Linked DNA regions of Neurospora crassa OR74A. The protein of the gene in region 2 interacts with the protein of the main gene of each other region in a pairwise test. Links are inferred from orthologs where the notes say so. Each region holds a gene or a part of one and is shown on either strand. Other genes may lie near its edges.

Region 1 (3,444 bases), on a different chromosome or scaffold from region 2:
TGTCCAAGTAGTACGTACATAAGTACTGAGAGGTATACCTCCTCGCCGCTACCACTCCCCACATCCCGCTCGACATGTATCCAACTACCCCCTCATTTCGACTAAACCTCATGGCTAACGAAGTCTACGCCTAGACTTAACAGGAAGGTGACTATCCCAAGCATGGCCCCCCTCATCAAGTTCTGAATATCTCCATGTTGCATTGAGGTTGGATGGGGTTGAAGAAGGAGGGGGAGGTGGGTAAGATGTTGAGTTCTGCTGCGAACTATGGGCTGGGCGTTTGAAGAGAGAGGAGTTGGGGAAGAAAAAGCAAGACCTCGGTCGCTGTCTAGGTACTTGTATAGGCAAACGTCTAGAACACCATGAAAGACAATTGGCTGGCCACTACAGTACACCTATGTATGTCGAACGGCTTCCCATTCTGCGCAGTGTTCTTCCGGGCTCTGATGGGCATTGGCCGGCATGTAGCAGGGTGATGATGACCGAGGCACTTGAAATGAACATGTCAACAGTTAGGTCGCATACTACCGAATGTCTTTGGAAGTACAAGGCTGACATTTGAAGGCGGGTTGGATTTGAATAAAAAAGAAATGAAATTTCAGGCATGACCCGCGTGCCTGCGTCGAATGGATAGTGGCGGGGGCCATGGAGGGTGTTTTGGGGATGGGATGAGACGGGAATCAAGTTGCCCTACCGGAAAACTTGCAAAGTGCGTAGCTAGTTATTTAGCAATGATTACAAGTCTGTTCATATCTCCAATGGGTAATGATCATGGTGACAATGGTGAGGTGGTGACTGGCGCGGCCGCTGGCGCCTCACCAGTTGCGAGCAGAACAAGAAGCCGCGGCTATGATGGCCGTGAAAGTTAGGGTCCAATTCCGAGGAAATAGTCGTTAGGTAAGTTGCCATCATCACCCTTGGGAGAAGGATTGTTGATGAACGAACTGGTGACGGCAATAAAGGCAAGCAAGATACAAGAGGATTAGAAACGGAACCTGAGGAAGCGGTATTTATGTACGTGCTTACATACAATACACCACTTACACTACCTAGGTACACACTTACGCAGTAGGGACTGTATCTTTATTACGGCCCTCTTGCCAGCTGGCGACTGGACTGAGGGAACGTACCCAAGCTTGCCAAGTAACGAACAACCTGTAAGGTCGATAAGGGACAACAGCCCCACTATAATTCTCTTATCGGACAGGAGCCATTGCAGTTCCAGTTCAATCGAGTTCTCTGGGGTGGTTTCCCCCGAAATTTTGGTCAACTTCCGCCTTCGTTGTTGTTGTCGCCGTCATCGTTCTTTGCTGGTTTACTCCCATTTCGCCTTCTTCTTCCCAGCATCTTTTGGCAGTCGAACTCCTGTCCTTTCAGCAACACCACATAGTACCTACTTCCCGAAAACCACAGCAACAATGGGCAGAGAACTTCAGAAGCGCAAGAAGCGCTCGTCTCGCGCCAAGGTCCAGACGCATACCATCAAGAAGAAGGTCTTGAACCCCCAGGGCAGCGGCATCGTTGCCAAGGCCTGGTAAGTACCTTTCTCTTCTTTTTGTTGCCAGATATTCGAGAGGAGATTCAGTACTGACATGCAAAAATTGATGTACTACAGGAACAAGAAGGAGACCCTCTCACAAAACTACTCCCGCTTCGGTCTCGTCGCCAAGCTCGGCACCGCCGCCGGCGGCATGGCCAAGAAGTCCGCCGCCGCCAACTACGCCGGCATCACCAAGGATGATCCTTTGGCCGTCAAGTCGGCCGATCGCGGCCTGTTCGAGGTCCGCGAGGTCAAGGTCGAGCGTGACGCCTCGGGCAAGATCGTCAAGGTCCTGCGCTCGGACAACCCGCTCAACGACCCGCTCAACGAGATCGAGTCCGACTCCGAATCCGAGGAACCCAAGCCCAAGAACCCAACCCATGATATCGAATGGCACGGCATCAGCGACGACCGCCAGGAGATGATTGCCCAGAGCAGCCGGCCCGAGGTGGTCCGGATGCTCGAGGAGGAGGCGTCGCGCCCTGTGGAGAAGACGGTGCGCTACCAGAGCGAGCGCGAGCTAGAATGGCTGCAGCGACTAGTGGCTAAGCACGGCGACGATGTAGCTGCCATGGTGCGCGACATCAAGTTAAACCCGATGCAGCAGACCAAGGGCGACATTACCAAGCGGTTGAGGAAGGCTGGCTTGTTGCAGTAAAGAAGCGGACGAAGAAACGAGGGAGGGGAAGAAGGGGGCAAATTGCATGCGCGAGTGTGATGTGAACTTCATCATCACTGGAATGTGACTGCTTCTTGCAAGGGGATGTTCTTGGGATCACCGGTGAGCTCGGTTTGTGGTCTGAAGATAAGGGTAGAGATGAGGGAGCCTGGCGACAAATGCCCGGACCCATGTCCAGTCTCGTCCTGTAAGCTGGGCTACGAGAGTCGGCGGGAGGGAGAAAGAGCGACCCAACACGGCTGATCCTTCAGCCGAGATGGCTCTGCTCGACAGGTCTCGAAAGAAGAGAGCAACGGATTTTGTCTTTCTCTCTTTGTCTCTCTTTCTCTCTCAGACTGGTATAATGCCAGTTAGACTCTCCCCGCTGTCGCCTCATCATACTTCGCTTCAGGGGGCGACCCTCTCGTGGAATGGGGAACTGGCAAAGAAACAGGTGACGGAGCTACTTCGGCTCGCGCTCCCTTGCTCAACGGTAATGAGCAAAAGCAAAACGGATGATGGGACGGGAACCAGGATTTCTTGTGCAGCATACATACTATTCATTAAGGCCACGGGCGTTTTAGGCGTTTCTCAAAGTACATGAAAAGAATTAGGGCCATTGAGCCATCCACATATATCGTATCATATCTTGTTTGTCACCTAGAATCATGTTCTACGTAGATCTCCACAAATATGGGAGAGTTTAATAAGAATGACACAGATACAAAGCATTCCATGAAGCCGATATGAGAGCTTTGTGATTCATTGTTGATGCACGAAGATATCTCTCTCGTTTCTATGCATGATAAACCAACAAGGACCTGTGACGCCTCGCCAACGACACCCCATAAAACAAAGCCTACACACATACATACACAAGAAAAAGCCCAAAATGTTTCGTCTAGTGCCAGCCAGCCCCCAATAACAAAAAAAAAGAAAGCAGGTAGCCAAGACACTTTGTACATGACCTAAGCATGCTGCAGCGTATAGCTACCCGGTATTGCATCCGCTTCCAGATCCAAAGTCGATCAGTCCAGCTCATCCATATCCCTTGACTTGAATTCTCGACCCTTCTGTTTTTTTTAATCCCATTCTTACACATTCCCCCGTTCGATTCCTACTCGGCCGTAGGGCGCAGTGGGAAACCTTGCCGATGGCTCATCCTCGTAGTCCCCATCATGCACACTAGGCGGCGCGTACCTGCTGCCGCCGCCGACGGAGGATTGATAATCGTTATCGTTGTCAA
Region 2 (4,047 bases):
ACGGCTAGCACTTAGCAGCTAGTAGGTATACTATACTAAAATAATACATATAGTGAAATTCCTAGTATTTGTTAAGTATTTGCATTTATTAGGTCTAGCATTTACGAGGCACATTACTATAAATAGAAGTGTCCGGTGAGTGGGATTCATTAGTAAATCCAATATATACCCCACGGGCACTAAACTCCTAGTTGTAGGTCCTTCTACAAGTTAATACTAGTTTGTTTGTTAGTTTGGTTCTTTAGCTATACGTTGAATAGGAGAAATTGTTTAAAGCTTCTATTAGCCTTTAAAGAGAGAAAAGGGCCTCTGTTGGAAGCGTTATATAATAATAGCCAGGGTGGAAAATGCTATGGAAGCCTTCTTATACCCCTCTTTGTCTCATTTAGGACCTCCAAGACTGGAAGATATGAGAGAGTAGTCCCCTTTTAGTACCTGTCTGAATGAGGTTCAAACGTTTTTCCTACCCTCGACATTTGGTAGCTGGCTCTAGAGTAGAAATTGGCTTTTTTTTAGTACTAAACCTACAAACACACTAAAGTTAGATTGTACAATTCAATTCTAAATCAAATATTGAAAAAGTTTAATTGTACGGTCAATATTATCTATCCGTACGGTAATGAAAAATAGACTTTCATATTCTTTTTCTAACTTAATAGAGTTTAGTATTAACTTACCAAAATGCATTATATTTTTTCTGATCTTTTACTCTATCTAACACTCTTTTTGGAGTGACCAGACCTACCTAGTAGCCCTAGGAAACTCTCAAAGAAGATAGCTATTATAAATAAATAATTAATAAGATTTTAGATGAAAAAGGCTTAAGGGGTAGTTTTTCCATGATGCTTAGGGATATAGATTTGGTACCTACCTTAAAAAATTCCTCAAAAATGAACGAATAGTTTGGTGCCACTTTCAGTTTCATTAGTCTCCGTTTTACTAAGTTATACTTAATAAAGCAAAAGTAGACCACCGTACGGATAGACAATATTAACTGTACGATTAGACTTTCTCCAAATATTACCCAGCGTAGGACTTAACACTTTTAGCACTATTTCAGGCTTGCATCGCCAAACTCCACCGAATGAAACTTGATAAGAAAAAGTGTCAATCGAAGTACCGCGCCAATGATGAACCAGCCGAGGTTTGGAGAGTACTGCATAGTACATAGAGATTTGTCAGTGTACTGTGTACATCTGTACCTCCACTTGCTCCACTCTTCCTGCAAGACGCACGAGGGTCCGCTAGGTGCATGATCCAAGCATTTTTTTTTCCAACCCTTCCTCGTAGATGGTTTATTTTGCATCACCAACAGCCAACCTCGAGACACATTGTGCCGGCCCGCTGTCCATTGATTTCGGCAACGACGGATTTAGGAGATATGGGCTCATCCAAGTCACCGAGGCAAAGAAAGAGGAAAGGCATGGGGCCGGCTTTCGACGAAGCAGCAGCACTTGCTCAACTGACCGAAAAGATCGACCAAACTCTCGCTGGCGTCGGCACTGACCAACACGCGTCACCAAATCGCAAGAGACCGAACACCACAGCTGATGATCGAGATGCAAAGAGGCGCCAGAAATCTCTACTGGGCACTGAAGAAGGACAAGAGGACCGTTCCAGCAAAGACCAGTCCCACAATGCAACAAAGGAGGTTCTGCTGGAGGAAATTTTGGCCTTGGGCGGAGACGAGGATGATCTTGAGCTTGTCGCCAATGTTGATTCCGACAATGAAGAGGGACCTGGCATGAAATCTGCGTCGGCGCCCGAAAAATCCCTGGATAAGTCATTTCATGAGGAACTGACAAAGTTCGCCTTGAGCCTGGGCTTCCAGAACATACCCCGCGAGGATGACCTTGAAAGCGTGTCGTCTGAAAACCCCGTCGACGAGGAACAAGACGAAGAAGACGACGAAGAAGAGGACGACGACGCGGAACAAACAAAACAGGATGACAGCCAGGATCAGGAACAGCCTCTAGCCATTTCTGCCACAGTAAAAAGTGAGAGCACAACTACGACCGCCCAAGACACCCTGCGCGGGAAGAAAGGCAAGAACAAGCTGGTTAGTTCGACGCTCTCGCTGCCGCAGACTTACCTGGCGGTATGCTAACTTGAGTAGGGTTTTGAGCCCAGACCTGACTGGCATGCTCTCGACCTCGAGGGCCTACCTGCCTTCACACCATCTGCCGACGTTAGGCAATATTCTTCAGCGATTGCCAACCTCAAAGCTTACGCGGACGCTCTCTTGAAGGAGGACGCGGCAAGATACAACGCCCTCCAGGCCTCCAGCTCCACTCAGAAGTTCATGTCGACCATTATGTCTTCCGGCACCTTATCCGACAAGGTATCTGCCTTAACCTTGTCGATACAAGAGTCTCCTCTCCACAACCAGAAAGCCTTTGAAACCCTGATCGGGTTGGCCGGCAAGAAAAGCCGTAGTCAGGCACTCGCTGCCCTGGGCGCTCTAGTGGATCTGCTGGGCAATGGCACAGTTCTGCCAAGTAATCGCCGGCTTCGTCCGTTCAACATGCAACCCGCCTTGCTGGCCGCTTTACAAGATCAAGCTGTGCTGCATTGGGTTCAGGGCCAGAAGCTCCCAGCCAAGCTAACTGATTCTTACCTGATGATGTGGGCATACGAGGATTGGCTCAAAGCAGCGTATTTTCGCATTGTCCAGCTCCTCGAAATCTGGTCGACTGATCAGATTGAGCATTCGAGAATGCGCGCGCTGGAATTTGTTTTCACATTGCTCCGGGACAAGCCGGAACAAGAGGCCAATTTGTTGCGACTTCTTGTTAACAAACTCGGTGATCGCGAACGGAAAATTGCATCTCGGGCGTCATACCTCCTCTTGCAGTTGCTCAACATTCACCCTGCGATGAAAAGCATTGTCATCAGCACGGTAGAGCAAGAGGTTTTGCTCAAGCCAGGCCAAGGTCTGCGCACCAAATACTACGCCATCATCACCCTGAATCAAACCATCTTGAGCACCAAAGAGCCCGCTATAGCCAACACGCTACTCCGAATCTACTTCGAGGCTTTCCTTTCCCTCCTCAAAACTGGCTCATTGGGAAACCTGGAAGCGCTAAATTCCGAGGACAAATCTGGCGGCAGCAACAGGAAAGCTAAGAAGGGCAAGCGAAATCACACCGAGGCTTCTGCCAACGAGCAGGATACGACACAAAAACTCGTATCCGCACTGCTTACTGGTGTCAATCGTGCGGTACCCTTCACTACCGCCGACGATGAGACCATGGAAAAACATCTCGATACCTTGTTTCGCATCACGCACTCGTCGAACTTCAACACCAGCGTGCAAGCACTCATGCTCATTCAACAGCTCGCCGTGACCAAACATCTCGCTGTTGACCGATTTTATCGGACATTGTACGAATCATTATTGGATCCCAGACTCATCACGTCATCGAAGCAAGCATTGTACATGAATCTACTTTTTCGAGCCCTGAAGAATGATGCCGACGTGCGGAGAGTGAAGGCTTTTGTCAAGAGATTGGTTCAGGTGCTTAACCTGCATCAGCCGTCCTTCGCATGCGGGGTGCTATATCTGATTTCCGAGCTGGAGAACATGTTTCCTGACCTTCATTCGTTGCTTACTGTTCCCGAGGAGAATGAAGATGATGGCGTGGAGGCTTACAAGGATGTCAATGATGATGCGGCTCTGCAGCGCAGTCTCTTGCGTGAAGACGCACCAACTTCCCGTCGTGCCACAGGATATGATGGACGAAAGAGAAATCCCGAGCATAGCAATGCGCACAGAAGCTGCTTGTGGGAATTGGTAAGTGCCTATTTGAACTCTGATTGCATGTGAAACCAGTTTACTAACCTCAAAACCACCAGGCTCCTCTTCTATCTCATTTCCATCCATCCGTACACGTTTATGCCAGTAACCTTCTCGTCCGTCAAAAGGGCCTGCCGAAGCCGGATTTGGCCAACCACAGCCTCATGCATTTCCTGGACAAGTTTGTCTACCGCAACCCCAAGATTACCGAGACCAAGCGCGGAAGCTCAATCATGCAGCCGGTCCTCGCT

The links. The genes of interacting proteins can lie anywhere in the genome.
Region 1: the proteins of NCU09894 (region 2) and NCU09528 interact in binary tests that used the Saccharomyces cerevisiae proteins (3 or more experiments, as listed by UniProt). The link is inferred for Neurospora crassa OR74A from reciprocal best matches to the Saccharomyces cerevisiae genes MAK21 and NOP16.

Annotation. Positions count from the first base shown.
Region 1 is NC_026505.1:4,474,525-4,477,968, reverse strand, and holds NCU09528 (nucleolar protein 16), read left to right. Parts: upstream 1-1,249; 5' UTR 1,250-1,418; coding exon 1,419-1,534; intron 1,535-1,615; coding exon 1,616-2,198; 3' UTR 2,199-2,944; downstream 2,945-3,444. Other genes in the region: NCU09527 (hypothetical protein), read right to left, coding at 3,293-3,444. UniProt on the Saccharomyces cerevisiae protein: Involved in the biogenesis of the 60S ribosomal subunit.
Region 2 is NC_026501.1:3,985,640-3,989,686, forward strand, and holds the start of NCU09894 (CCAAT-box-binding transcription factor), read left to right. Parts: upstream 1-1,247; 5' UTR 1,248-1,252; coding exon 1,253-2,059; intron 2,060-2,116; coding exon 2,117-3,793; intron 3,794-3,855; coding exon 3,856-4,047.